Notamacropus eugenii: one gene and its partners. The protein of the gene in region 3 interacts with the protein of the main gene of each other region in a biochemical or structural test. Links are inferred from orthologs where the notes say so. Each region holds a gene or a part of one and is shown on either strand. Other genes may lie near its edges.

Evidence for each region. The genes of interacting proteins can lie anywhere in the genome.
Region 1: the proteins of PEX5 (region 3) and AGXT are reported together in a solved structure, tested with the Homo sapiens proteins (2 studies listed by BioGRID and IntAct, with this or other methods). The link is inferred for Notamacropus eugenii from reciprocal best matches to the Homo sapiens genes PEX5 and AGXT.
Region 2: the proteins of PEX5 (region 3) and PEX13 form a complex in vitro, tested with the Homo sapiens proteins (3 studies listed by BioGRID). The link is inferred for Notamacropus eugenii from reciprocal best matches to the Homo sapiens genes PEX5 and PEX13.

The regions. Positions count from the first base shown.
Region 1 is NC_092877.1:377,647,334-377,658,058, reverse strand, and holds the start of AGXT (alanine--glyoxylate aminotransferase), read right to left. Parts: upstream 4,232-10,725; 5' UTR 4,114-4,231; coding exon 3,949-4,113; intron 689-3,948; coding exon 496-688; intron 1-495. UniProt on the Homo sapiens protein: Peroxisomal aminotransferase that catalyzes the transamination of glyoxylate to glycine and contributes to the glyoxylate detoxification.
Region 2 is NC_092872.1:643,855,855-643,865,905, forward strand, and holds the start of PEX13 (peroxisome biogenesis factor 13), read right to left. Parts: upstream 4,232-10,051; 5' UTR 4,045-4,231; coding exon 3,953-4,044; intron 1,324-3,952; coding exon 629-1,323; intron 1-628. UniProt on the Homo sapiens protein: Component of the PEX13-PEX14 docking complex, a translocon channel that specifically mediates the import of peroxisomal cargo proteins bound to PEX5 receptor.
Region 3 is NC_092874.1:195,640,587-195,651,361, reverse strand, and holds the start of PEX5 (peroxisomal biogenesis factor 5), read right to left. Parts: upstream 4,971-10,775; 5' UTR 4,871-4,970; intron 4,388-4,870; 5' UTR 4,304-4,387; coding exon 4,157-4,303; intron 4,072-4,156; coding exon 4,036-4,071; intron 3,584-4,035; coding exon 3,451-3,583; intron 3,242-3,450; coding exon 3,110-3,241; intron 1-3,109.

The sequences.
Region 1 (10,725 bases), on a different chromosome or scaffold from region 3:
TCTTCCTGGAAATATCTCTCCCTAGTTGATAGATGACTACTCAGTATATCCATGTCCTAGAACTGTGGGAAGGTAGGAAATTTAAGCATGGCAAACAAGGGATTTGGATTAAACTGGCCATTAAAGTGGGCAGCTAGATGGCACAATGGGTAGAATGCTGGTCCTGGAGTCAGAAAGAGCTGAATTCAAATTCAACTTCAAACACTTACTAGTTGTGTAACCCTAAGCAAGTCACTTAAAAGAGATAAACCCAGTCACATGCAAGTTCCTTGAGAGTAGGTATTCTTTCATTTATAGCACTCCATTAGGGATTCACAGTTTCCTCATCAGTAAAATAAGAGAGGTGAACTATGCTTTCCAGGGTCCTTTCCAGCTCAAAATCTTCTCCCTTGTAATGCCATTCATCCAACAGTAGCCTACATTTCTCTAAAGTCACTTTCCTACCCAGTCTTGGTCAATCTGGAACTCCCCCCAAGACAGAATTGGTTTATTTACCAATCCTCTCAGCCATGTTCACTATCCGCTGTCCCCAGATGCCATTCACTCCTACCAGGATAGAGTCCCCTGGTTCAACGAGGTTGAACATGGCAGCTTCCATAGCTGTGTGTCCAGAGCCACTGAGGGCCAGGGTGAGCTGGTTCTGGGTTTGGAATGCGTACCGGATGCCATCTTTGATGTCATCCATGATCTGAAGTAAAAGACAAAAGGCAATGACCACCAGCTGGGAATTATGCTGATCAGGACATTTTTATTTGAACAGAGGGTTCTCAAAGACAAATGTTTATTAAATGTCCCCCATATACAAGGCACCATGCTAGACAGAGAAGTCAATACAGATACAACCTCTAGGGAAGGATTCAAATACCCTCTCTCCATCTTTCTCTTCTTTTCTCTCTGTCCACGTCTACCTCACTCTTTCTGTTTTGGCCTCTGTCTTCCTTTATTCATTTCCTCCTCCTTCTCTGTCTATCTCTGTTTCTCTCCACCCTCCTTGACTTCTCTCTCCTCTCTGGGAGGGAGAAGTCCTACCCACAAGGAGACAAGGGAAAACACATGATATAAGGGCCACCACAGCCCATGAGATCATCGATCTAGAGTTTCGAAGAGCTTCCAGCCACCTCTAGACTAACCTCCTCATGAAGAAATTGAGGTTCAGAGAGATTAAATGATTTCCCCAAGGACACACAGATAGTAAGAGAGATCCAACAGAACTCTGATCAGAAATTGAAGGAGGCAAAGACAAGTATGGTAAAATAGAGATTTAGAGTTAGGAGATGAGTTCAAATTCTGGCTTTGAGATTAATTAGATGTATGTCCATGGACAAGCAACTTAATGTCTCTGAGTCTCAGTTTTCCCAGTCATAAAATGGGCACATTAATATTTATATTCCTTTCCTACCAGAATTGTTGTGAAGGAGCTGGGAAAAATAACAGACTATCTCATGGAAGCATACAGAGCCAACATTATGCCGTGGTGGAATTTGTACCAAAGTCCTTTCTGCCTTCATTTTATTATGATGATGATGAGGAGGCTGATTCTATTAATAAATAATGGAATCACAGTTCTCCATAATCCCTCCTTCTGTCCTTATTTCACTCTACTTCCTTTTATGTATTCTGAATTCAAAAGAGACTGAACTGTTCTTGACCTCCTTTCTTATCTTTTTTGGCATCTCCGTTTGACAACAATTTGGTAAAATGAAGAGGCCACTGAGTTCAAATTCTGCCTTAGACACATAATAGCTGTGTGATACCCTGGGCAAATTCCTTAATCTATCAGCCTCAGTTTCCATCTAGTTATGTGCTCCTTCCTCCCCCTCAAATCACTCTGGTCAGTGGCTAAAGAATTTGAACTTTTCTAAAGACAGTTCTTAAGTTGGACAAATAGCTGGTTTCTTTGTTTCTTAGAACTGTAAGCAAGGATTTCATATTGACAATGGAGTTGTTTTTACCTATTTTCGGCTGGTGACTTTGGAACAAGCAAGTGTGAAAGGGATTGTATACCCAGAAAGGATTTTAATGTGGAAAATATGTGATCTTAGCCAAGTCACTTTGCTTCTGGACTTCAGTTTCCTCATCTGTAAAATGAAAGCATTGACCTGGATGGAGTCAAAGGTCCCTTCCAGCTCTGAATCGGTAAATATGGTAGAGTAAGAAAAGCCTGGCTCTGATGCATACTACCTGTGTGACCTTAGGCAAATCAATTAATGTCTCTGGACCTCAATTTGTTAATTGGTCAAATGGGGCACTAGATAGCCTCTAAGGTCCCTTCTAACTCTGATTTTAGGAGCCTCTAACCATAAACACCCCTAAGCTCCTGGTCAAGGTGTAGTGGAAAGAACAATAGATTTGGGTGAATTCCCAACTATTAATGACTCACATTACGAACTCTCTTGCTTTGGGTTCCTATTTACACCTCTGGAAGATGAAGAGATTGGACTTTAAAGGTTAACTCTAAATCATATGAACTAAGGCAAAGAACTAAGCATGACCAGAAAGTTACAGGGCTATCTTCAGTTTCCTGAGAAATGGAGAGAGAGAGATAAACAGAAGAGAGTCAGGAACGAGACCCTGAAAGGCAAAAGCCAAAGCTAGTGTCCTTTTTGGCCCTTCTGGAGAGATGCAATCAGAGGGAGGCTGGGCAACTCTCAACTATTTCTCCAAGGTCATTAAGTATTTACTAGATGGAACACCCTATATTAGAAGGAATCCAATTTAATTCAATTCGACAGACATTTATTAAGTAACTGGAAGTAACCTGAGAGATCATCTAGTCTGGCCCTTCTAATTTACAAATGAGAAAACTGAGGTCCAGAGAGGGGAAGTAGGTTGTGCCAGGTCATTATATTTAGCTATTGACAGAGGCAAGATTAGGACCCAGGCTTCTTGAAATATCTTTTTGCAACTGTTATTTCATTTTACAGAATTGTAGAATCTCTGAGTTAGAAGAGACCTCAGAGGTCTTTTGGTTTAACCCTTCATGCTCACCACCACCACTAAAGTCGCCACCACCCTCACCACCACCACCACCGCCACCACAAGTATCAATTATTCTTCATAACTGACCTTTCCTTTCCCATCCCTGTGCCTCTCATATTTATCCCTCATGCCTGAAATACATTCTTTCTCATCTGTGTCTCTTATGATCCCAAGTTTATTAAAAACTCACCTCAAGTGTTACTTTCTACATGAGTCCTGATCTCCAAACTGCTCGGCCTCCCCCAACAATCCCCTTGAATCTGTTTTGTGGCTGTATGTGTATACCTGTGCATATTGTCTCTCTTGAAGGAATGTTAGCCCTTCAAAGAAAGGGACTGCTTTATTTTGGGCATTATATCTTCAGCACGCCAAAGTAGGTGAATAATACACTCACTGATTAATTGATTTGTATCCCCAGCACCTAGGACAGTTTCTGCCACAAAGGATTTAATAAGGCTTTTTGAATAATTGACCAAAATAGTTGACATTCATATACAACTTTAAGGTTTGCAAAGCACTTTATGTACAGACAGCCCTACATCTAAAATGCCGTGATTCCATGATCTCTAGACCTCATTTTACTCCTCTGTAGATGAGGGTGTTGGATTTTCTGCTCTCTTGTTTCTCCTGGCTCTAGGCTCCTGTGAAACTTCAACAAGAGGTTCATAGCATACGGTTTTGTTTTATTTCATTTACACATATATGACTAGTCACTCCCACAAACAACACTGGGCTAGAAGCACTCCAGGTACTGTTCTCTCCATTTTAAAGATGAGAAAACTGAGGCCTAATAATGCCAAGTTACTCACACAGATAGTAAATGCCAGAGCTAGGACTCAAAGCCACTTCTCTCCTGCCTCCAGGTCCAACATGACCTCAGACTCCAACTATCTGCTATCCTGAAGTTGAAACGCATTTCTAGAGAGAGTTTTGGAGAAGGATGTCAAAGCCAATTTTCCCGTCACTTACCTGATACATTTCATCATGCATGTGTCCAATAACTTGGTGGCCCCCTGCAAGCATGACCCGAGAAGAAATATTGGAAGGTCCAGGTCCCAACAGAAGTCTGTCTGGGATGCTCAGGGGCTTTCTCAGGGAAGCTGGAGGAGCCACAATCAATGAGTGACTGGCCATGGCCTGATTCTGTGCAGGTGTCAGGACAGGGACGTGTGACTGGACCCAACCTGCTGCCTGGGAAGCCAAGTACACAGTGCGTGGGATGAACCTGTGTATTTCCCAGCAGTGCTTAAAAGCACTGATTGATTTGCTGTTTGCAACAGGTCAACAGGTCTTTTATCAACAAAGAAACAAGAATCAATAGGTTCTGTCTCTGTAAACCTGGAGTAAGCTCTCTCTCATTCTCTCTCTCTCTCTCTCTCTCTCTCTCTCTCTCTCTCTCTCTCTCTCTCTCTCTCTCTCTCTCTCTCTCTCTCTCCTCCCTCATTCCCTCCCCCGTCTCTCTGTCTCTGTATCTCTCGGTTTCTGTCTTTGTCTCTCTGCGTCTTTCTCTCCCTCTCTCCCTTCTTCCCTCTCTCCTTCCCCTCTTCTTTCTTGCTTCTTCCCCCAAACTTCACCTGGTCCTACTTGTTGCAACGACAGGACCTAACTTTTAAAGGCTACTGAGTCCTGTTTTTTTAGGGTTGAAGGGGGTTCCCTTGCCCCCTTCAGGATCAATAAAACAGTCTGATCTAAGCCCTCTGTTATTACCTCCCTTTTCTATGATTTTCTTGTTCTTGATCTTTTGGTTAAAAAAAAACCAAACAAACCTCTTAATCTACTAAAGTTTCTTAATGAAAGCCAATGGCATCTGATCTCTAATTATCACCCTCCACCCCTGCTCAACTGCTTCTTTAAAGGAGTGGGCACTTCTCATCTCTCCCTCCCTTTCTCCCCACCCCACGTTCCCTTAGACATTGAACTCTGAGCCTCTGGCTCTTGGAGGGGCCAGATTTCATGGACTTGTTCAGACTCTTTGTCTCTGTTTAGAAAAAAAGAAAACAACACGAAAACTGAAGCAGAAACCCCTATATGAGAATTCAAAAAGAAAAGAAAATCATGAGATAAAATAAATGTGAGTTGGATACTAGGCCATGATGTTGATAGGACTTCATGAGTTTTATGAAATGGTTGGGTCCATTTCCAGGACAGCATGGTGTCCCTGTCAGTTTCTTGGACTCCCAGGTAAGGTGCTAGTGCCCAAGGCTCAGCTCTGCCCCCACTAAGCTCTGCAACCCAGGGCAAGCCCCCTAAGCCTTCCGTGCTTCAGGTTAATAATTTGTAAAATGGGGATGATGCCCAATAGACATTGAAGGCTGATCAGGAGCAAAGTGCTTTAGAAGTCCCAAACTACTCTTAGTCAACAAACATTTACTAAGCACTTATTAAGTTCCAAACCTTGTTTTCCCAGCTGAAACAGCCCCTGCTTTCTGGGGCAGCTATAAAAGCATCAACTATTAGTCTCTCATTTAAGCTTCAGAATAACACCATGAAAGTCACAGAAACCTGGAAAGGATCTGAGAGAACATAGTTCAACTGTTTCATTTTACAGAAGAGTAAACTGAGATCCAAGTAACATAGGGTCATATAACTAGAGCTGGGAGGATATCACAGCTTACTTGCTCCAACCCTTGTTTTATAAGTGGGGAAGCTGAGGCCAAGGTAGGGTAAATGACTTGCCTAGAGTCACATAGGGAGTAAGCATGAGAGACAGAATTTGAACCCCCTAGTCCTTTGAATCCAGAACCAGGACTTTTACTGTGTGTTCTTCTCTGTGGAACATGTCTCTGTACTGCCAGTAATATTTCTCACTCCAGTATAAACATTTCTTACAATGAACAATCTCTTGTGACCGCAGACTTTTCATTAATAGATGAGCACTCTAAGAGATTCAATTATTTGGAAGGTGTGGTTATGACACATGTTGATCCTAGGAGGATTCTGTGACTGCAGAACGTCCCACATGGCCATGGAAAAGGGCTAAAAGTAAGGCTTTAGCAAGGAGTTGAAGCAGGAATCTTTCTGGAGGGGATACAAGAGGAAGGGTATTAGATTTTGCATCAGAGGACTAGCATTCAAGTCTTAGCTCTCCCTCTCACTAACTGAACAGCTGACATAATTTCTTATTTTGGGGCTTTTATCTTCCTCATCTGTAAGGTGAGGGAATCAGTCTGCATGATCTTTAATATTCTTTCCAGTTCTGAATCGATGGTCCAGTTTCCTTGCACTTATGGTTGTAAAGGCCAAGGCCTTCATCTTTAAAGTTCTAACATCGTTGGGGAACAGAACAAAGAAAGGCCTTAGAAAAATAATGAATTCAATAATTACTGAGCCTGCAAATAACGAATGAACATGAAATGAAGATAGAGTCAAACCGTCTATTTGAAAATTGATATTCCCTCATAGTCTTGCAAGATAACATGGTCCATGTCTCTTTCACGTCCATCCCAGAATGAAGGAAGCAAGGAGAGAAGAAGGGAGGAAGGGAGAGAAGAAGGGAGGAAGGGAGAGAAGAGAAGAAAGTGGGAAGTGAGGAAGGAAAGAAGGAAAGGAGGAAGAGACAGAGGGAGGGAGAGAAAGGAAAAAGAAAGGAAAGGAGGAAGTGAAGGAGAAAGGAAGGAAGGGAAAGAATAAGAAAGGAAAGAAGGGAGAGAGGGAGGGAGAACAGGAGACAAGAAAAGATGAAAAAAACATTTATTTAGCATTTTTATTTGACATTTCCTGTGCAAAGCATTATTCTAAGCCCTAGGAATAAACTAATGGAAAGGCAGACAGAAGCTGCTCTCAAGGAGTTCCCATTTATTAGAGGGAGATCACACAGAAAAATACAGAAGGTCAGTTAGAAGGGCTTTCAGAGGTCAATCAGTCTGAGCTCTGTCCAAAACAGAATCCCTTCTACAGTAGAAAAGGGATTGTGGGTGATTACCTAGAAATGAAGTCACACACCTTCATTCAACCTGGCTAACTTTCTTTTCTTCTTTTTTAATTGAATCAGTAGAATAACAGATCAGGGATCTATAGATCATCAATAGAACATAGTTTACCTAGAGTTTAGTAAAACATCTGATAAATAAACTCATCCTATTCTTGTTGAAAATTTAGAAAGGTATGGGCTAGACAATCTAGCACCCATGATACAATAGTCATCCAGCCTTTACTTAAAGGTATCAAAGCATCCAGGCATGATGGTGCTGGAGGATCTTTTGGCATCAGGAGGTCTGAGCTGCCTAGGGCTAAGTCAATCAGATATTTCCAAAGTCTGGCATAAATATGATGAGCTCCCAGGAATGGGGAGCCAGCAGGCTGCCCAAAGAAGGGTTAAGCAGCCCAGGTTAAAAAACAGTAGATTCAAGCTTCCATGCTGATCAGCAGTGGGGTTAGACACATGAGTGGCCACTGAATTTCCAGCCTAGATGAGACAGGGAGACCTAGCATTGATGACAACGATGAAGATGATGATGATGATGATGGCAATGATTATAGTCCAGAATTAAGGGAACTAGACCATGGCTTCAAAAGTAGAGGAGGCCAGGTGTGGGAAGGCATGCCTGAATTCTCTGCTTTTGAGGATCTTGAGGTGGGGGGGATTTCTTGAGTTCAGGATCTTTCACCAATCGAGGGCTATGAGGTTGCCTACAAGGGGGAAAGTGGCATAGGTTGAATCAATGGAACAGGTCAAAGTTTCTGTGATGATCAGTATTGTGAGTAGCTTTTACACTTTCAACCAGGGTGAGGTAAGGAGACCCAAGCTAAAAAAAAAGTATAGGTGTTATTTGTTCTTTGAATGCTTGATATAATTCATTTGTGAATCCATCTACTTTGGGGGGCCTTTATACATGGAAGACCATTAGTAGTTTGTTTATTTCCTTCTTCTGAAGTTGGTTTATTTAGACTCTTTCCTGTTTTATCCATTGGATATTTCGGTAAATAGCCAAACATTTCTTTTATACTGTCAATTTTTGTTGACATCTAGTTGTGTACAAGAGATTCTGACAGTTTTTAAAATTTCTTCTTGATTTACTTTATTATTTCTATTTTGCCAATTTGATCTTTATAATCTTTTTAAAAATAAAATTTGCTATTGTTTCATCATTTGTGTTGGTCTTCATAAAAACAAACTTAAAAGATGTATCAGTCTAAGCGTTCTTTGAATTCCTATTTTGTTTATTTCTCCTTTTATTTTGTTTTCCATTTTCAGTTTGCTTTTGGCGTATTTGTTTGTTCATTTTCCATCTCTTTCAACTATAAACTAAATTCGTTAGTCTTCTATTTCTCTTTCCTTTTAATGTAAGCATTAAAGGATAGAAATCTGTTGCTGACTATTGCTTTGACTCCATCCTTTCATTTGTCCTTTCCAAGTTTTAGTAATGTAAGTACAAACCAAATAATCTCACAGTCTCTTGGAAATATAGTGGACTGAATTGGACTCAAATCTTCGCTAAAATAAGTGACCTGACAGAGATAGACATTTAGGTTCAGTCCACACAAACAGACTTGAAGTCAGCCGAGAACATGTGCACCAAGAAACAATCTATAGAAACAACTGAGGAGTAAGCTTGGTTGGGTTGGGTTTCAACTCCTTTGCACCAAACAACTAATTTGTGCTTTTGTTTTGTCTTTCTTCGGAGCTCTCTCCTACCCCACCTCATCAGTTTTTAACTGTTTGTTTTGGCACTGAATAGAGAGAACCTCTTCTTGTGCTTTCTCTTACACATGTGTGGATCAGGAGAGACTTTGCAAAGGGCAAACCCACAACTTTAGCAAGCAAGGAGGGTCAAGGCTCTGTCATGGCTTCAGGAATTAAATATCCAAGACCTCCACTAATGCTGACCTGAACACAGCATGGAAAGAAAAGTAAACCCAGAACTTTCCTCTCACTTCTCTCTCACATTAGATATGAAGAGAACTTTGTCTAATTTAGGGACTCCTAAGACATCCATCACATCTTCACAGCTGCAGAGATCAGAGAGAAAGATGACATGATGGAGAGGAAAGATGCTTAGATATGAGGTCTGAGGACCTGGATTGAAATTCTAGTTTTGTTACTACTTGTACTCTTTTCCATGCCTCAGTGTCCTCCTCCATAAATTGAGAGAGCTGACCAGGTCAGATCAGGTCTGCTATGCTCAAGAACCTTCGATGGCTTCCCATTGCCTTTAGTATGAAACAGAGACTCTTTAGCAAGGCATTTAAAGCCCTTCATCATTTTGATCATGCCTTCTACCTTTGTGAGAAATAACTCATTCAGACTCGGGCGGGGTGAAGATAAAAGTTTAGTTTATTACACGACTGCAGTGGCAGGTGTCTCGTAAAATAGATAAACCCTGTAGAAACAAAAACAAGCCTTAAAAACCTATGCCCAACCACAAAGTACCTCCCCTGTCTCCTCATTGGCTGGGTAATTTAGGGTGTACAACTTTCCGATGTACCTATTACATAGTTCCTCTTTATGTGTCCCCCTACTCTGGCAACATGCATTGTATGGCCATTAAAATGAACCCTTAGTCCCTTAGGGGAGAAGTTAATATTCATAATCTTGTTAGGCATTAGCATTCCAATAAGACCTCGATTTTACCTACTTAGTAACTTCTAACCTCAAAACAAGATAAAACCAGTTGGAGCCTGCTTTGCCCATTATCTTCAGTGTGAGACATAACTTCTTTGTTAAGTGTTTCACTTTCCCTCTTCTTCTTCTAGAAGATGATCTAGTACTAATCTATGTTTATAGTGCCTTCGTTCTTAATAGCCAGAGGCAGAGAAATTCTCTTAGACATGTTGATTAGCCTGATGAGTGAAAATGTTTAATCAACATCTCCCACTGCTGTCTTCTGCAATGAATTTATTTTCCTTCATTAGCTGCAAGTCAAAAGACTTTTGGGTATGTATGGATCTCCTAGATTTCTTGCCACATATTACATAATTTCTGTGGAAACAAAAGTTTTAATCATTCCTCACACCTTTGTATTACTACCCTTTGTATACTTCAACACTAACTTAACACAGTAGGCAATTAATGAAAGCTCTTTGGATTGGATTTGATGAGCCTAGTTCATATCTGAGGAATGGTTGGTGACTGATTCCTGTTGGCAGAACAAAGGTAGCAGTGACTTCTAGAATATTTTCTTCATTAACCAGGAAGGGCAGAAGACTGAAAGTAATACCACATGAAGAGTGGATGAAGAAACAAGAGAAACCTAGTTTGGAGAAAAGCGAGTTGTATTCCCAAATTTTTGAAGGAAACTCATACAGAGGAAGAACCAGTCTTGTGCTGCTTAGTCCAAAAGGATAGAAGCCAGAGCAATGGACAGAAATTACTGAAAGACTGACTTAGGTTGGATATCACAAAACATCTCTGCCATTGGAAGTGTCCTCAAGTGGAATGGGTGTTTTGGGCAGGCGACGAGTTGTCCACTTGCATTCTTCAATCACCAGTCAGGATGTCAGAGAGGGGAGTCTGCTTCAGGTATTGGTCAAACTGGATTGCTGATGGAATTGTGTTAACTGTAAACAATGCAGTTGACAATGCAGTTTTATTCAGTACCATTTCTCCCCCTTTCTCCTGTATTTTTCAGTTTATGGAACTGCAGCATCTGAGAACTGGAAGGCACCCCAGTGGTGACCTTGTCCAACCCATCTCTGACTAAGAATCGCTACCACAATATCTCCAAAAAATGAGGGAATTATCCAACATTTCCTTAAAGACGGGCAGAGAGTCCTCTAACTCCTAAAGTTGCCATTCCTACTGTTAAG
Region 2 (10,051 bases), on a different chromosome or scaffold from region 3:
GGGAGCACCTGGGTGAGGCAATTCTTTTTATCTACACAGGTTGGCAACTTTGCTGCAACTTGTAGTTTTTGAGACTAGAAGCTGGCCTGGACCCTGGAACTTACTTTCAGAAATCTGATTCATTTTTCTGGCACTAGCACAAACCTCAATTCCTCTAAGCTTTCCCTGAAAAATTCTGTTGAAAGTGATCATTCCCTTCTTTGACTTCCTTTAGAGCTTTGTACTCTAATGTATAGCCCTTCATCGTATTCTACTTTGTATTGCAGTTTCTTGTGTAGACTTCTCATCGCAATTACTAAATTACATAGTAACTGAGAAACAAGGACCATGCCATTTGTTTTTAAAATTCTGGATATCATCAAGCAAAGTGCCCTTGTAGGTATGCAATTAATAATTGTTTACTTTAATCAATGACTAAATTAACAAGTTTGTTTTATGCTTAATTGTTGTTTTTCCAGTCAAAAATATCCTTTACTCAACATATATCTATAAAAGGACCAAAACCAAATAAAATTATTTTCTACAATCTGATGATATGTCCCATTCATTAAAAACTCAAGGTGGCTATATGACCTTATTCCTTTATAACAGAAATATGATTATTTGTAACCTTATAAATTGTCCTTACCTGTTACTTCCTCAGTGTGGGTGGATAGCAGTTTCCAGATAAGGTAAGGACCCCCCAGGATAACAGCAAAGAATAAGAATATTGGCCAAGATTTTGCTGAGTTAGCTGCTCTGTCTTCAGGGCCAAGGCAAGCCACAGTACCTTCACTTTCTGCCCATAAATCCTCATTCTCAGAGCCTCTTCTTAAACCCATCATCTGCTGCAACCGTCTGTAGAGATATCGTATAGTCCTAACTAATGCAAAAGCTGAAAACACTTTTGTGAAATGTATTTTCAATCGGGAAAAATGATTGGCTACATCCAAAACGGCTCTGAAACTGTTATAGACAGCTGAAAAGGTGGCATCCATCATCATACTGACAGAAGCAAATGCATGCACAATACTTTCAATGGACTGAAATGCACCTCTGCTGCTTTCTTCAGCTTGTTGGACAAATCTGCTGGGAGGAAGATCATCCATACGGAATCGGTTATATCCTAACCCCCCATATCCATAACTGTAAGGATTGTAGCTTCCATAAAATGAATTTCCATATGCTCCATAACCAGAAGAAAAGGAAGTGTAAGCAGGTCTAAAAGTGTTCAGATTGCTGTTTCCTGTCTGCTGTGATGGCCTTGGAAGAATTGGTGGGGGTACTCTTGTAAGAGTTGGTTGCCCAGGCCTTGTCAATAAAGTAGGACCCAAATCAGCAGATCTAAAGAAAGAAAATTTTAGAGATTCAGGATCCATATCCATATGACAAGGATAATCACTCAAGCACTAAAATTCAATTCAGTAATTATTTATTAAGTTCCTAATATGCACTTAAGTTGAGATACATGATAAGAAATATAAAAATGCTTACTAAGTTATTTCAAGTTGTATGTGTACTTTCTCCATTTCTTTATAGGTCTTTTTGAATTGCTTTGCGTTATGTGCCTGTTAGTCAAACTTTCCAGAAGAGCCCTCCCCACCCTCCGCTAGCTTCCATACTCAGAAAACAGGGGTAAAAAAAATTTCCTGTTCACCTCATAAGCTTGTGAAAATCAAATGAGATTCATTCTTTCATTTAAACATTTATTTCAGGTCTATAATATGTAGAGCCCTGTGTTAGACACTAAAGGAGAAACAAAGTTTATATAAAACAGTATCTGCTTTCACAGCATGAAGGAACTTTGTAAACTCTAAAACCATTTAAACACATTTAAACCATTAAAAGGAATAGTTCTTGTCCTCTAATACTTGACAGTTGCATTGGGGACACAAGATACAGAAAATAAAAATACAAGATGGCATATATGATTAAATACCAAGGTGAAGAGTATAAACAAAATAGGGAGTTCTGAAAAGTCTAATCCTATCATGCTTCCCCTCAAAAAAATTTAGGGTCTCCTTACTCACTACTCAGGAAAGTTCAAACTCTTTGTTAGGTTAAGTTCCATACAACATGATGCTACTCTGTTGTTCCAGCCTTATCTCATATTCTAATCCCCTATAGGGTAGCTAAACTCAGCCCCCATATACCTTACTGTTCTTTCCAGCCTCTGTTCCTATGCCTAGAACTTTCCCACACAATGCACTTATGTGATATTGCACATTATAGATAAGTTTGTGTAATATCCCTTTATTAGACAGTAAGCTCCATGAGACCAGGGGCTGTGGCTTCTCTAAACTGTATTTTTCCAGTGTCTAGCAAAGTGCTCTGCCTACAGTAATATGAACTAAAGATTAAATAAAAGTAAAAGGAGAGAGGCTATCTGGCATCAATTCTTCCTCTCCCTCCTCTACTCACTGCAAGTCCCTGTTATTGATATTCTCAGAACTGCTGGACAAAGGGCTCCTACAAACCAATCTACAAAGCAACAAGAACCGTTTTAAGCATTGATTTGAAACCCACAAGCAAACAAAAAGTACTGCAAAAACAAAACATTTAGATCTGCTTTACATAACTAGAAACAAGATCTATAAAATTAAACTTTTCCTATTTACGTTGTATCTACTATTATTAACAATGATCAATGTACCCAAAAGATAGGGATATTTATTATGTGAACAATCCCCGATCTTGTTTTCATGCAAAGCTTGATGAGCATCTACAGAAGCAATTCGGCAGCAACATATTCTAGCGCTGTTGTGTTTCTTCAATGATTGATCAAAATTTGATATTTTGTCTCCATCTCTGCAGTGAACAAGAAACCATCGGGAGGGGAGAATAATAATACACAGTAGAGGAGAGTAAGTCTTAAAATGACTCTTCCAAAATCCAGAGCCAAATATTAGGGGAACTTGGCAAGACAAGAACAAAATCATTCCAATATACATTTATTAAATGTCTAAAAAAAACCCCACCTTTTACTGAGGCCTCCTGTAGTTAAATGCTTTTACTATATACTGGGCGCCCCAACCACTCTATTATTGAGTTAGTAGCGGAAAGCAATGCCCTCAAGGATTGGAGAAAGGGAAACTGGGAGATTCATTTTTATTCCTTGAATACTGAGGCTTCAGGAAAGAGGTTCCCCCTCCCCCCATACATACGGGGTGTGTGCGTACGTACACGTGTACACACACACACACACACACACACACACACACACTCTCTCTCTCTCTCTCTCTCTCTCTCTCTCTCATCAGAAGCTCAGAGGTACAGACAGCCTGATGCCCCCTGCTCTCCTTTCACCCTCCCACCCTTCTGGTGCACACCCTCATCATCTCGGCCTGAACCACCGCTATAACCTGCCCCAAGTCTCTTCCCACTTTAATCCATTCCCTATTCTTTCTGCCACTAAATTCATTTTCCTAAGACTCAAGTCAGATCCTGTCAACTCGCCCCCGCCTCCCCCAAGCTCCAATGGCTTCCTATAGATCTCCAGGACAACAAGATGTCCTCGCCTAGACCCCTTCTTCCAGTCTTTTTATACCTCGATCCCGTGACGCCGACCTCCCGACCCAGCTCTGACCACTTTCTCCGGCTGCCCCGCTGCCTAGGTTACGCTCCCTCCTCAGCTCTCCCCGCCGCCTTCGGCACGGAGCCTTCCCCGAGCCCTCGGTCCGTCCGTCATCTCCCCTGGGTCCTGGGGTCGGCTTCTGCCGGCCGCTGGGCAGGGGCTGCCTTTCCCCGTGTCGTCAGCGCCCAGTCCGGCGCCTGGCCCTCACAGCAGGCTACTAACAAACGCCGCTCGCCCGCAGAAGCTGCCCGGGGCCCGGGCCCCGGCCCGGCCCTCCACCCCCGGCCTCGGCCGCTCCGGAGGCCTCGGCGAGGAGGGGGCCAAACCCAACGATCCTAACTGCCGCTACCCGTCACCTCAGCCTCCCCGACAGCATGAGCCAAAGGCCCTCACACTTACTGGAAAGAGGGGCCGGGCCCGGGTCCTGTTCCTGCCCCCGGGATCCTCCGAGTCTCCCAAGGCTTCGGCGGAGGCGGCGGCTGAGACGCCATCTCCAAAAGCTCGGCTCGGCTCTCGCTCGGCTCGGCGGCGGCTCCAGCCGGGGTCACAGGAGCGTCCCGCGCCCGCAGACCCGACGAGGAGAGCGACGAATCATTCACTTCGCTAACCTTTCCCCGCCCCCTCACCGGGCCGAGGGTTCGCCTTTCCAGGAGCAAGGGCAAGCCGTCTACCCGGCGGAGGCTCTATTGGGTGACCCGCAACCACATTCTGTGGAACACAGCTCGGGCTCCCCTCTTTCCTTCCCTGTGTACCGGGGGAAGTTCCCGAGGTAGGGGACGGGCTTATCGATGTTTTCTTTTGCTGCTACGGAGTCCTGGAGACCGTTGTTTTCCCACCTCTCTAGACACAAGTCAATATTCCACCGCGGCCGCGGGACAAGATGATGCCCCCGGACCTAGTCCTTCCGAGTGCAGCCGGTGGGAGCTCACGCAAGTCTCCGCAAGCCGTGGGGCGGGGCAGGGCCGGGCAGGGCCGGAGATGGCGTGGAGGAAAGGCGGTACCTCGATGCTGCGGAGCGCGTTTCCTCCGGGGACGGCATTGCGCGTGGCACCGAGTGTCTTCTTTTCACGTCCCCATTCCCTCGGAGGAACGCAAGGGGTTAAGCTGGGCTGCCGCCGTCGCTACTGCTGGAGAGAGGCTCCCAGGGAGCGAGCGCGGGAGAAGCCGGGCGAAGGGACCGGGGCCGGAGAGAGACTGGCCCTGACGTGCACGCGGGGAACAGGCGTGCGAGGCGGCGCGGGGCCGGAGCCTGGACCCGGCCCGGGGGACGCCAGCGAACTTTCCCAGCGGCTGGAGGCGTGGGGGTTAGCGCGCCGGAATCTGCGGGTGGCCCGAGGAAGTCTGCGAGGGGGAGGCCGACCTGCGGGAGGCCGCTTTAGGTCTTCCTGGTGGTGGGTATCCTCCCGGCGGCGCCACGTGCCTTCCTCTGCCCCCCTCCCCCTTTACTCCTTTTAAGTATTTTCGTGTACTTTACTGTATAAGGGGTGATCCAAGAAGTCCTAGAGGTGGGGGGTGGAGGGAAGTAGCACCTCCTGGAGTTGGAGGGGAAAGCCCTTCTGCAGTTGGTGCATGTGGGAGGTGTGCTGCCAGAAGTTCAGAACTTTGGGGAAAAAAATAGAAAGAAAAGGCCATGAGACTCAGGTCATCGGGCATCCCCTTGTAGTGGACTGAACCCCCACCGGATTGGGGAGTCAAAAGATTGGTCTTTATGTTAGCGGTGATGTTGGAATCTGTTGGGTTGCTTAAGAGCCGTGTGACTAGGCACAGCTCCCTCAGCTTCTCTCGCTTATCTATTAGATGGGGATCAAGTATTAAAGTTCTTATACTTTATCGAGGTACCGAGGTGACCCTTGGTTCTCATAGGCTGTGCTCACGTAACGCGTGCTTTAGCGAGTCCTATCAAGGTGGAGAGGATTTTAGTAGGGGACCAGCGGTCGTCTGAGGACCAACCAGAGAAGGTCGCAGCATTAATTGTAGACAGCCTTTTCAAGGAGTTAGGGCAGGAGGGATAAAGGATGACAGCAGGGACAGAAGGATTAAGTGAGGGTTTTTTAGGATGGGGATCTATCTGTATGTTTGTAGATAGTAGGGAAGGAGCCACCAGAGAGAGAGATTTAAAAATAAGTGAAAAAGTTGGGATGACAGAGGGCAATCTGTTGGAGGAGTCAGGATGGAATGGGATCACTTGAACAAGGAAAGGAATTAGCTTTGGTAAGGAATAAGAGTAAAGCCAGTTTATTATGGGAAACGAGTGAAAGAGTAAAGAGTGGCAGAAGGCACGTGAGTGATAGAAGATGAAGAAGAGGGAGTTGGGAATGCCCTCAGTTTTTTTCTGTATGATAAGAGGCAAGGTTCTCAGCTTAGAGAGTGGGGGGGAGAGGAAGCCATGGGAGATTTGAGGAGGGATAAAAAGGTTTGGAAGAGCCCCATTGGAGAGTGGGATAGCGTGTTGATAAGGGAGATACAATAGAATTGCCTAGCAGTAGTAAGGGGCTAGCTGAAGCGATGTAACATAAATTTGTAATGGACCTAGTTAGAATGGTCATGTGATTTTTCTCTGCACATGTGCAGAAATGAAGGCTGTGAATGGTGGGAGCCGTCTGAGGCTGAGGGTTGACGGGGCGAAATTGGTAGTATAAGAAGGCTAGGGATTCGCTAGGGATTCAAGAGAGGAGAGCACCGTGGAGTAGAACGGCTTCCCCAAGGAGTCAAGATGAGGAGAGGAGAGGATGGTTAATGCTGGAGAGATGGCCTGGGGAGAAGAGAGGGCTCATGAAGAGTGGGGTTATATGGAGGAAGGCAAGAGGGAGATGGGGTGGGGAAAATCATTAGGTTATGGTCAGCTAAGGGGATTTCAGAGTTTCTGCACATGGAGTTGGTACATTTGTGGGTGTCAGCAAGACCAAGGATAGAATCATCTTTGTGTGTGGCTGAAATGGAGTGGGGGAGTAGCTCATGGGAATTGAGAAGGTTGAGGAACTGTGTATGTTAAAGTCCTCCAGTATGAGGGCAGTTGGGAAGGAGAGAAAAATTGTAAGCCAGGTATCAAACTCATTGAGGAAGGAAAGGGAGTGACCTGGGAGTCTGTAGACAGTAGCTACCAGGATCTTGTTTGGGTAGTAGATATGAATAGCATAGAAGAGAGGAAGGGAGAGAACCCAGAAGTGGCAGTGGGGAGCAAGGTGTATTCGAACCCCCCCCCCCCCCCCCCCCCCCCCCCCCCCCGCCCCGCCCCAACCATGAGCCCAGGATTATAAGTGAAAGTGCAGCTATTACTGTAGAGGGTGGCCAGGGAGTCTGTTTCATCATTGAAGAGCCAGGTTTCAGTAAGGGCTAGTAAATGGTAGGTGTGGGAGAGGAAAAGATTTAAGATGAAGGAAAGTTTGTTGCCTATAAAACAGGCATTCCAAAAGGTACAGTGGAAAGGCTGGGTGGACTTAGGATGAAACTTTCTTGGAAGGTTGGGAAGGATAGAAATGAGGAATTAGATATTAGGGGATGTGGAATGGGTCTTGAATTCAGAGTCCCTGGGGTGTGAAGAGTCTGACCAGGTGTGAGAATGTTTATCACTGAGTGGAGGCACTCCTCCTCTACTATCAAAAGACAGGCATAGCAGGAGATGAGAGGCTTGAAATTAAAGGAAGAGTTGCTTTTTGCACTGAAGGTGTTCCACATTCCTGTTGGGGGATTGGGTTGGAAGCAAGAGGTAGAAAATTCATTGTGCCAGTACAGGCAAAAGTGGTTGCACTGAGGTAGATTGAAGATATCTGGCTTGGCCCCTTGCCTCAGGGGACAAGCTGTGCCAAGCAGGAGATGGAAGACTACCACTGTGGTGCAGACCCTTATCACCTCATACCTGCACTATTTCTATAACCTGCTAATGGATCTGCCTGCCTTAGGCTTCTCCCTGTTCCAGTCCATCCTCCATTCAGCCACCAGTGATCTTCCTAAAACCATAGATCTGATCATGGCACTATGCAATAAACTCCAGGTGCTTCCTATTGCCTCCAGGAGCAAATACAAAATGCTCTGTTTGGCATTGAAAACTGCTCATAACCCAGCCTCTTCCTACCTTTCCTGTCTTCTTACACCTTATTCCCCAAGAGATACTTTTTGATCACTGTCCTTCTGGCTGTTACATGGTTACGTGAACAAGACACTTCATCTTGTAGCCCCAGGCATTTTCTCTGTCTCCCATGCCCACAGTACTCTGTTCTCATCCAGGCCTCCTGGCTAAATTGGCTTCCTTTAAATTTCAACTGAAATCCTACTTTCTACAGAACTCCTTCCCCAATTCCTCTTAATTACAATGCTTTCCCTCTGTTAATTATTTCCTATTTATCCTGTATGTACCATATTTGTATGTATTTGCTTGTTGTCACTCCAATTAGAATGTGAACTTCTTAAGGGTAGGGATTGTCTTTTGTCTCTTTGTATTTCTAGGGCTTAGCATAGTGCCTGTCACATGTGCTTAATAAATGTTTATTCATTGACTGACTTATCCATGGTTAGTGAACAGGGTTAGCTGGATGAAGATCAAGCAAGGGGTTTCAAGGTATGAGAATTTGCTAACTAAAAAACTAAAAATTTGCCAAATCTAGAGAAAGTAGCTCATTTTTTGCTCCTTTTCATTAGCAGTGGGAAACTTTATTGTCTAGGTGATGTTCCATTTTTCTGAATAAGATATTTTTTTTTCTATGCATGTTCTTCCAAATCATAAGAAGTGTTAGTTTGACTGACCTTTTGAGGGAAAGAGCACTGCATCTGGCATCAGAAGACCCATGTTTGAATCCTGGCTCCACCACAGACTGCTTGACTGTGGCTGTTTGTCACTTAACCCTCCTGGGCCTCAGTTTCCTTTGTTGTAAAATGAGTGGGTTGCATTAGGTGATTTCCCAGTTTTCTTCCAACTTTTCAAATTTTAGTTCTATGTTACAGATCACTAAGCTACCACTAGGTATTTTATATTCAGATTATTGAGGATAGGGATTTAAACGGTCTTTGATTTCATTGATAGTGAACTCCCAAATGAAAAAACTTCCACTAAATGCAGGTTGGCACTTTGCAGTTTATAGTCTTAGTTTCATAGAGCACCAAGGGGCTAAATGATTTGTGAGTGAATTGGGCCAAGAACTGAATAGGGGAAAGAATGTGAGCTTCATGCCTGCCCCCTGATAAAAAGACCTGTCTTTTTTAACACACATAACTATTGGCAATGATTGAGATTCTCAAAATTTTACTAGCTAATCCACAAGCCAATAAAGAGGTGTGCAGCTTTCTAGTGATGAACTGTACACAAGAAGTAGAAAAATGCTATCATCATATGTATGCTTAGGAAAGAAATTGGCTTGGTTATGTGACAAGAGTGAAGGAAAGAGATTCGTAGCCCTCATGTTTCATGGGTACCTAGGAAACTCGAGAAGACCTAGAGGAAGGCTCTTGACATCTTGGTTGGAATCTCTGTGGATAATCTATTAAAGAGCATGGATGAGAGTTTCATAGCATGAGAAAGTATAGATGGGATTTGTTTTCTACAGATGGAAGGAATGCCCATTTGAAGAGATCAGTGTTATGAGAAATTTTTGATTGTTATGAGAGATTTTGATTTCCTGTTATTAATTTTTATTTGGGGTTCAGGACTTTTTCTCCTGGTAAGGAAATTATTGAGCTGGCTGAAACCTGTTACATTCCTGAGATAAGAAGGGAGTTTGAGCTTCCTTTAACTTGCTTTAATTGTGGAAGGATCTTCCTGGCTCCCTTTGGTTATCTTTGTGACATATAAATCTGCCCCTCTGAAACATTTGTAAGCTCTAAATTTTGGAAAGAATTTTTAATATGTAACTAAGTCTGTTTGGCTAGGTCTGCTAAGAGCATGGAAGATTGCAGTATGTCAAATATTATATAGTATTTCTGATGTAATTTTTCTCTATAAAAGCTTTGTCAGAAACCCCATCTGGATTATTTTTTCTGAGACTGAATCAGAAATCTATGTAGAAACAGAAGTAATTAAGTTGTTATTAGAATTGAATCAATTTTGCATATATTGTAGAAACTGATGGATATGCCTTTCTTAAAATCCTTCCCTGACCAAGTTTTCTTTCATAGCTAATGACTATTAAATTGATATACCTAATAAATTCCTTTGTAGGTTTGAATCTGTTAATTAATTTATTAAACATATATTACCATTATTCCCTGTCCCATTCTCTGTTCCAGTTAAACTGTTCCTTATATGATGCTCTACCTCCCATCTTTGTGCCTTTGAACTGGTCATCCTCTGTGCTTGTAATTGACCCACTTTTCACCTTTGTTTCAGAGAACCCCTTGCTATCTTCAGGACTCAATTCATGTACCCCTTTTTTTTCTCTTTTCTTTTTCTTTTTGCATTTCAGTAGTTTTATTGAAAGGTGTGGCACCAATGCAATATGCACAGCACCCACGGCAGCCGTGAACATCGCATTGCAATTCAGAATCGTGAAATACCACAGACTTTACGTG
Region 3 (10,775 bases):
TCAGTACCACCCAGATCTTTTTGTATGAATTAGCCTAGCTCCAGTTCTTCTTAACCCTTTTTAACCAATGCTCATATATTGTATCTAGTCCTGAGGTGGCAGAATCCAAATCCAGGCAGTTCACCAGCACTTCTATTTGCTGTCTCCTCTCCAGCTTCATCTACAAATGTTCTCAGGTAATCTGGCTTAACTGAGTCTCAAGACTGGAGTTTTTTCCCCAAATGAGGAAAAGGGAATATCAGAAATTTGACAGAAAATGGCAGAAAGTCCTAGAAAAGGTTTCCCATACCAGCACAGGTAGCATTTTTTGTGGAGCTTTTATTTTTCCAGATGACTTGCTGCCAATCAAATTCTGATCCTTTCAAAAGAAAACAACAACCTCACAGATATGTGAAACAAAAAAAACCAACAACGGGCAGAAGAGGGCCTTCTGGTCACATCCTCATGACCTAAAATTAGAGGGCAGCTGTGGTAACTTTAACAACAGAACCCCAGCACCTACTTCTACAAATCCCTTGGCTCTCCCAAAGGGCAAAAGCAAAATAGGAACTTTCTGTGCTACTACACTATTCGAGAAATCTCTCCTCTGTTGCTGTACCACCAAGCACCAGGGGAAAGAACAGAGGCGACAGACAGTCTTCCATACTGATCAAACTTCAGAAGATAAATTAAGAATGCCCAGGGCTTTCATGTCACTACCCTGATCCTAGGGAGCTTCCTATCTCAAGCTGTCAGGGGCCCAAAACATGATCAAAGTGACTAGGCAACACAGCCAAGACAAGCTATAAGCTCATAACCTTAACTAGAGATGGCTAACCACTCCTGACTTCTCTGTGTGAGAAGACTACAGTGATGAGGTTCTAGAATGGTGACCAATATCTAGCTCTCTACAACCCTAGTTTATGGTTGACCCCCAAAGAGCAATGAATCATTACCTTATCAGACACCAATACAAACCAGTTTTCTTGGTCCAAAACCAGTTTCACTTCCCTGCCATCATATAAATCAAAGATTCTTAACCTTTTTTGTGCCATGTACTCTTCTGGCAAGCTTATAAACCCCTTCTTAGGATAATGTTTTTAAATGCATAACATACATGTCTCTTTAAAATAGTTATCCTAACTATAAAATACTCTTTACAGAAATAATGACAGACCTAAATAATTGGAGAAACATTAATTGCTCATGAGTAGGTCAAAGCAACATGATAAAAATGAAAATACTATCTAAATTCATTTTTTGTACTACTCAAATTCTCAAAAGAATATTTATAGACCTATTAGAATATTTTACATTTCATAGAATATTTCATTAAAATAATAATGAAATTCATATGGAAGAACAAAAATGCAATCATCTCAAATAAATGAAAAAAAGTGGGAAGGTTGGGGATGGGGTCATCAGTATCAGATTTCAAACTACTATAAAGCAGTAATCATTAGAAAGATTTTGTACTGGTCAAAAAAAAAGGAGAGAGGTCTATCAGTGGGACAGATTAGACACACAACATAAAGAAGCAAACAAACACAGTAGTACACTGATAAACCCAAAGACCCCAACTGTTGGGAGAAGAACTCACTATTTGACAAAAACTGCTGGGAAAACTGGACAGAAGCTTGGTAGAAATTAGGTTTAGACCAACACTGCACACCAAACACCAAGATATGCTCCATACAGAAACCTGACCTAGATATAAAAAGTCACATCATAAACAAATTAGAGGAGCAAGGATCTATGGGCAAGAGTTCATGAATGAAATAAGTATTAAAGAGGATCACACAAGATAAAATGGACAATTTTGATTAAGTAAAATTAAAAAGTTTTTTACATAAACATATCTAATGTAGAAAGGAAATATGTAAGTGGGGGAAAAAAATCTCTGCAGCAAGTTTCTCTGATAAAGGTCTCATATCCAAGATACATAAGAAATTGATTCAAGTTTGTAAGACTAACAGCCATTTCCCATTACATAAATGGTCAAAGGATATGAACAGGAAATTTCAAAAAGAAACCCAAGTTCCCAACAATTATATGAAGAAATGCTCTAAGTCCCTAAGAATTTAATGTAAATTAAAGTACTTCTGAGATTCCCTCATACCTGTAAGACTAATAACGATGACAAAAGAGTAAAATGACAAATGTTAGAAGGGCTCTGGGAAAAAGTATACTTTTTGTACTTTTTACCCTGTTGCTTGAGCTGTGAATTGGTCCAACTGTTCTGGAAAGCAATTTGGAATTATGCCCAGAAAGTTACCAAACTGTGCATGCCCTTTGACCAGGCTATACCGTTACTAGGCCTAAACCCCAACAAAACGATTTTTTTTTTTAAAAAAAGGGCAGATCTTATGATATCCACAAATTGAAAACTAAGGGGGTATCCTCCTATTGAGGAATGGCTAAACAAATTATGGGATATGAATGAATGAAATATTACGGTGCCATAAGAAATGATGAAACTAACACTTTCAGAAGAAACTGGGAAGACGCTGTGAACTAATGTTGAGTGAGATGAGCAGAAATAGAATAATTTATTAAATAACACCATAAAGAAAAACAATTTTGAAAGGTCAATGCAATGATAAAAGATTAGTTCCAAAGAATGTGGATGAAGAAGCTATTCACCAATACAGAAGTGATGAACTTAAGATGGCACAGTATGACATACCTTTTTGGGCATGGTAAATGTAGCAATTTGCTTTGCTGGACTATGTAGGCTATGTATTGAGGGCTTTAAAATTTTTTTAATCAATGTAGCGACAGTGTTAGGAGAGACAGATTGATTTTTTTAAAAGCTTGTTAATTGAAAAAATGAAAGTAATTAAACTCTATTTTAAAATTATTTTTTAAAATACAGTTATCAAAGTATTTTTTAAAAAAACACAGTCCAGGGTCTGTTAAGGTTAAGAACCTTAAGAACAGCTTAAGAACCCCTGGCCTACATGGAAGTCAAAGGCCCATCTGCCTATAAAATTGAGCCAGTGGACCTAAGGATCAAGTTGTTGAAACTGCATTATATCCTGATTGGGGAGGAATGGGGAGAAAAGGGAGGAGAAATGAATCTGACTGCTTCATTGAAGGGGGTTACAGACTCCCTCATTTAAAGCCTCACCTGTAACTTCAGTTATGAATTCCTGAGACCAGTCAGCCTCATTGTAATCCTGAGCTACGTCCACTGCATCTCCAGCTGCCAGGAACTCTTCAGCCCAGTTCTCAGATAGTGCCAGGTCAGCCACACCTGGGGCTAAGAGAAAGAGATGAATAAAAAATGAAAAAAAAAATCAAAAAACAAAAACAAAGCTCAGCAACTCAAGTTGAGTTCAACTGATAGTACCACATCCTGTCTCTTCCGTTACCTCCAAGTCTTCTTGCCAATGACCAGCCCTTAGTAAGGGGTCTCCCAAAATGGCACAAAAATTGGCCATCTTCCCTCCCACTGGGCCATGGATCTACCTCTCTGGGGAGCCTGGCGGAAGCTAGACTGTTCAATTTCTTGCATTTCTGCCAACAAATCATCCATCTTGAAGGTCTGGGGAGCCCGGGACACAAGTGGGACATTCTGGTCCTGAAGGAATTCAGCCACCAACTGTCAGGAAAGACACCATTAAGAAGCAATAGGAAAACTTGATTGGGAAGACAGAGAAGCCTGCAAACTAGAGCATACAAAGACCACAGGTGAGAGAAAAGAACGTGGAAACTACAGAAACAAAGAAAACGGGAAACTCCAGTGAGAAGCATGCAAAAGGATAAGAGAGGGAGCCAAAGCACGTCAGGCCAGGGAAGGAAAAGAAGGGGAATGAGACTTAGAGGCAACAAGGTATCACAGAATGACAGCTTGAGAGTCACAAAGGATCTCAGAGGTCACCTACTCCAAATCCCTCATTTGCAGCTGAGGACAGCGGGCCCAGAGGCCCAAGGTCACAAAGGTAGTAAGTGGCAAAGACAGAATCTGAACTCAGGTCCTGTAACTCCAGCGCTCTTCCCACTGGGGCAAGGAGACAAGAGAAGAGGTAGCAGGAAGGAGACGTGCATGTTTACCTCATTTTCGGAAGCCACTCCCAGAGGTTTGGAGACCTAGGAGAGAGGCAAGAGGGGGCGGTCAGAGGGGTGCCCACATTCCGCCTCCCCTCCCTCCCGTGCCCCCTTCCCGAAGACTCACCGCTTCGGGGGCTGGGGCTCCCGGGGGCCAGGGGCCAGGGTGCAGCCCTTCCTGCTGCAAGGCTTTGTCCTGGGTGAAGTGACCTGCCAGCTTCATGAGGGGGTTAGCCCCACCGCACTCTGCCTCCACCAACTCCCGCATTGCCATGATGACCGCAGGCCTTGTGGCGGGCAGCCCCGCGTTCTCCGCTCAGCACGGTCCTCGGAGGGGACCCCTACCCCAACTCCAGCCCTAGGGTGGTGGGGAGAAAAGGGAGATCCTCTCTGTATCATAGCAAGCTGGGGGACCTGCTCTCTCCCCACAGCCTCCACCCGCCCTCCCACCCTGGGAAGGCGGTGCTGCCCAGGCTCGGGGACCGGGGCGGAGGGGAGCGCCCCATCCGCAGCTCGCGGGGGGCTGGTCGGGGGTCAGAGGACAGAGGTCAGCAGGCCCCGTTATATCCCCGGAAGGCTCCAGAGCCCGGGGGACACCAAGCCCGGGACATCGCCGAGGCAGGGCAGGCTGGGAGCCCTGGGGCTGGACCGGGACCCCAGCCTGCTCCTCCCCCGCCCCCTCCGCCCGTGGTACCCCCACCTGGTCTCGCTCCCCTGTCCCGCGGTCTGCCACGAGGGGGCCCCCCCTCCTGCCTCCGCCCCCGGCTCCAGCCCCGCCCCCGGGGTCCCGCGAGGACAGGGAAAGGGCTGGAGCGGGCTCCCCTCGGCCCCCCGCGCTCACCTCCACGCGCCGGCCGCCAGACCTGCTCCGGGCGCGGGGGTGCGGCTGCGGGGCGGGCGCGGGGGTGCGGCTGCGGGGCGGGGGCGGGGGCGGGGGCGGGAGCCGGCCGAGGGTGGAAAGAGGAGCGGGCTAGGGGGAAGAGGAGGAGGAGGGGCGGGGTCCCCCAAGCGGGCGCGCGGTCCCCCAAGCGGGCGCGCGCTTAAAGGAACCAAGCTCGGAGTAAGAAGGGGGGGGGTGGGGAGGAAGGGGCGGGGCCCCGCGGGGCGCGCGCTTAAAGGGGCCGCGGAGTGGGCGCGGACAAGGCCGGTTTCTTAAAGGGGGCGGCCCCTTAAAGGGGAGGCCTCGGCCCGCGGAGCGGAGACCCGTTCCCCCTTCTCCCCCCACTCCCCGCCCTGCGAGCATAGGCCTTCCGGTATCAGCGCCCGCCCTTCCCTGCGCTTAGCGTTAGTTACGGCCTGTGCTGCGAAACAGGCCTTGGGCGCCTCCGCCCCGCGGACTGCTGGGCAGGATCCCGGACTTCCTCCACCCCGACTGGCGAGGCCGTCTGTGCCAACCCTCTGGCCTTCCCGGGAGCGGAGATCGGCCCTGAACGCCCCGGAGCGCCGCATGGGCGGGCCTCGGGCCGGGCCTCAGTCTCCTCCTCTGTAAAACATGTGCCTGCACTCACAGCGGGGCTTCTCACCCCGCCGTCCACGGACTTTTTTTTTTCCATCGATGACTATATTTTCAAGCAGTCAGTCTCCTTTGCACTCATGTTTATTTCCTTTCATGCGTTTAAACAACCTTCTGAGAAGGGAGCCCCTAGGTTTCTAGCACTGGACCCTGGCAACAGCGCGGGGGGCTCGAGCGGTTTGACGGTGGAAGAAACCGAGGCAGACTGAAGTGCCTTGGCCGAGAGTGTGGGGACCCAAGGCTAAAGTGAAGCAGACAGGCTATGACGTGGGGACACTTGAAGCTGTGAAACCGGCCCTCGCCCCTGCCTCCGGTTTCCCTGACTCCCATTCCCTACTTCTGAAATAGAGACTGCTGGCTGAGGCTCTTGGCCAAAAGGCTGAGGGGTCTTGGTGCTCTTCCGCTACCTAACCCGGCCTCTGCTTCTGCAGAACGCTTCCCCTCCTCCGGTCTGCTTGTGCAAGAGTCATAAAGGGCTTGTGGTTTATGCTTGAGATGCTGCTGAGTGGTCAGCTTGAGTGGGGACCTCACCAGCCCACACCCCCGGGATCCTACACCTGGGACTGGCGTGAAATGAGGCGGGGAACCCGCACCACCTAACTGCCCCGGAGTGCCTTTATGTAGCCCTTTGCCTACGTTTTCTCAGCTGAGGTTCCTAAGAGGTTAGTACTGTTCTCATCCTCATCGTACAGCCGCAGCAACTGAAAACACAGGAATCAAAGGACTTGCCCAGGGTCACACAGGCAGCGTCGGAAATATCCGGGCACCACCTGCAACTGGCTGCTGTGCTCCCAAGCACAGTGCCGGGGGCTGGAGATGATTATTATTAATAATGACGAGCACTTTACAGATTGAGGAGTTGCCACGTGTTTCCTCTTCTGATGCTGTGTGTGTGCTTTTATCGGATAATCTGCAGATGAGAACACCGAGGGAGACAGATTGAGCCACTTGCTCGGAATCACAAGGCTGGGACAAAGAAGGGCCAAACCCCAGTTGTTACCCACAGTGCCTTGCTCCCATTATAATGAGTGAGATGATATGTACGTAGGAGATATTTACAAGGATGCAGATTGAGACACTTTGGGGGACCGGCCAATGGTTTATTTGTTTTGCTACACTGCAGACTTGTTACGAGGGCTTTGTTTTTAATTTTCCAAGTTGAGAAGGAGAAGGTGGATTTTTGATCTCTGAAAAATACAAAATTTTTTCTTCAGATAGGTACAGGGTAAGTTAAGTTGGAGGTAATTTCAGAGAGAGGACACCACTAGCATTAAGGAGAACCAAGAAAGGCTGGTTTCTAGAGGTGGGGTTTTAGCTGAGATTTGAAGGATACCGGGTGGCAGAGATGAGAAGGGAGAGCATTCCAAGCAAGGGGAAAGGGGTCCATGACACACACTAAAAAAGGTTAACCTCTGGACTAGATGATGTCTAAGGTCTATTAGCCCCCCTAGAAATCCTGTGAGCCTCAGGGCAATAGTGTCAGCCTTAGTTCTCTCTCATGCTGCAATATTGCCTTCTTTCTTCCCTTGGCCCACTTTATCTTTTGCTGCTTTCTTGTTTTCAGTTAAGGCTTCTAGTGGTTTATTCTCTTTGTTCCCAGCAGCAAAGGGTTATGGATGTGTTAAGACATCTCCATAATCTTGGTAAGGGAAACTCAGCAAAAATATTGTATTATTATCAGGCCTCCAACCACCATCAAACCTAGGCTCTCTCCAGGGAGCAGAACAGAGGCACCAAGGAAAAGGGAGGAGAGTAAGAAATCACAAGATGGACAAGTGATGTTCCCCAGCTATCAGAAGATAGCAATAATTAGGCCCACAGGACCTAATGATCAAGAATATACCTATATTCTAAGATAACCTTGTGGTTTTGGGGGGAAATTCATGGGGGGAAGGGGGGGAGGAAAGTATCTGGGAGTTTTGTCTGTCTGAGTTTACTAAACCTATAGTGGAGTTCAGAAGATGAAGGTGGTAGATGGCACTCTGGATATAGCAAAGCCCACCTCAGAGATCAACTAGTCCATCTACTTCATTTACAGATGAGGAAAACAGAGCCAAAGAATTTAGATAACTTTCCTAAGGTCACAAAGAGGGTAACTAGCTGAGTCTGCATTCTAATGCAGATTCTCTCCAAATTCATTGTTCTTTCTTGGTCATCTAGTCCAACAATGCCTAAGAAGAACTAAATACCCTCTACAATGTCAATGATAAATAGTCATCACAATTCTGCTCAGACACCTACAGTAATGGAGAACCCATGTCTTCTCATCCTACTCATCTCTAATTTTTAGAAAGCTTTTCTTCATGTCAAGTTGCTCCTATTTTTAGTCTAGGACCAAAAAAAAAGACCCATTACATTTCCAAATGTGCTGTTACGCTACACAAACTCCACCCCCACCTCCAGTGAAGTTGCTTTTCTCTCCTAAAAGTCCCTAGTTTTTTCAAATGACCACTGTATGACCCCTTTCTGGAAACTATATTTATGTTAATGTAGTCTGAGGCCCTACTAGCTTTTCTGACTACCATGTTAAATTACTGACTTGAGTCTTCTAAACCCTCTAGGCCAATTTTACAGGAATTATTACTCCTTAATCATATACCAGAGTCCACCTTCATCCCCCCTACCATCTTGTACTTGTGCAGTTGATTTTTTAAAAATCCAACTGTAAGATTTTATATCATCCCTATTAAATTTCATTTGATTTCTGTAACAAGTATTCCTAATGTCTCCACATGCTAGAGAAATAACTCTACAGTTGCAAGGGAGCTTGAGTCCACCTAACACAATCCCCCCATTTCACAAATAATGAAATTGAGGCTTAGAAAGATAAAGGATTTGCTCTAAATCTCATAGGCAGTATCAGAGTGGGATCAGGGGAACAATGGGAAAAGATAGGGAAATATGTAGATTTGGAAATATACCCCAAAAGTCACAAAATTGTACGGTGAATAGAGTGCTGGACCTGGAGTCAGGAAGACTTGAGTTAAAGTCCTGTTTTAGACATTTAACTAGTGGTTATGACTCTTCAGAAAGAGGAAAATATACCCAACTGAATGAAGAATTCCAGAGAATAGCAAGGAGAGATAAGAAACAATACAGAGAAATAAAAGTAAACAAGACTGGGAAGGATAAGAAATCTCTTTAAGAAAATTAGAGACATCAAGGGAAAATTTCACACACAGATGGGCATGATGAAAGACAAAAATGGTAGAGATTTAATAGAAGCAGAAGAAATTAAGAAGTGGAAAGAATACATGAAAGAACTATATAAGAAAGATCTTAGCATCGCTAATAACCAAGATGGTGAGATTACTGATCTAGAGTCAGAGTCCTGGAGCATGAAGTCAAATACAACAATACAGCTAATGAAAGTGATGGAATTCCAGCTAAGCTATTTAAAACACTAAAAGATGATGCTGTTAAAGTGTTATGCTTGATATGCCAGCAAATTTGGGAAACAGGATAGTGGTCTCTGGATTGAAAAAGATCAGCTTACATCCCAATCCTAAAAAACGACAATGCCAAATTACAGAAGGGCTGCACTCATGTCACTAGTCAGTAAGGTTATAGTTAAAATTCTACAAGCTAGGTGAACAAAGAATTACTGGAAGAGCAGGATAGTTTTCAAAGAGGCAGAGGAACTAGAGACCAAATTGCCAACAGTTGCTGGATTATGAAGAAAACAAGGGAATTCCAGAAAAACATCAACTTCTGCTTCATTGACTACACTAAATCCTTTGTGCAGATCACAACAAAATATGACAGGTCCTCAAAGAGGACCTTGTCTCCTAAGGAATCTGTATACAGTCTAAGAAGCAACAGTTAGACATGAACGTGGAACAATTGATTGGTTTAAGATTGGAAAAGGAGTTTAAGTTTGTATATTATCACCTTATATGTAATACAATATGTGAAATGTCAGGCTGGATGAACCAAAAACTGAAATTAAGGTCTTTGGGAGAACTAGCAACAGTCTCAGATATGCTGACAATGCCACTGTGATGGCAGAAAGTGAAGAGAAATTAAGAAATTTTTTGATGAGGGAGAAAGAAGAGAGTGTAAAAGCTGGCTTGAAACTTAACATCTAAAAAAACAAGATCTTGGCAACTAGTCCCACCATTTCTTGGCAAATAGGGAGACAAGAAAAAAGGAGGAGGAGGAGAAGAAGGAGAAGGAGGAGAAGAAGAAGAAAAGAAGAAGGAAGAAGAAGAAGAATCAGATTTTATATTCTTAGGGTCAGAGATCACTACAGACAGCAACCACAGCTGTGAAATTAAGATACTTGCTCCTTGGAAGCATGTTATGGCAAATCTGGACAGCATGCTAAAAAGCAAACACATCACCTTGCCAACAAAAGTCCGCATCAGCAAAGACAAATACCATGTAGACAAAGGTCCTTGTAGTTTCTCCAGTAGTAGCATATGAATGTAAGAGCTGGACTATAAGAAAGGTAAGCACCATAGAATCGACATTTTCAAATTGTGGTGCTGGAGAAGACTTTTGGGAGTCCCCTGGACAACAAGGCAATCAAATCTGTTAATACTTAAAAGAAATTAATTCAGATTATTCACTTGAAGGTCAAATACTAAAGCTGAAACTCAAATACTTTGGCCATATAATGAGAAGACAGGACTCATTGGAAAAGACCCTGATGTTGGGAAAGATTGAAGGCAAAAGAAAAGGGGGATGGCACAGGATGAGATGGATAGATAGTATCATGAAAACAAGAAGCATGAACTTGGACAGACTTCAAAAGGTAATGGAGGATAGAAGGGCCTGGTGCACTATGATCCATGGGGTCACAAAGAGTGAGACAGAACTGTACAACAACAAATATGACCCTTGACAAATCACCTAGCCTCTGTCTTCCTCATCTATAAAATGGGGATTGTTGTTGTTCATCCTTCATTCTTGGAAAGGATCAATGACATCATGTAGCACTTACATCCCAAGGTTATAGTGAGAATAAAGTGAGATAATATTTGTAAACTAATAAATAGTATTTGTGAACTAAAGAGTTATGCAAAACTTAAAGTACTTATAGAAAATGCTACCTATTATTATTATCCAGAAATAACACTGGATATATTTCTCAGAGAGTTCAAAGAAAAAATAAAAGTACCCTCATATGTATACAAATTTTTATAGCAGTTCTTTGTGGCAAAGAACTAAAAAAGAGGAGATGCCCATCAATTGGGCTGAACAAATTATGGTCATATACATACGTCCATGC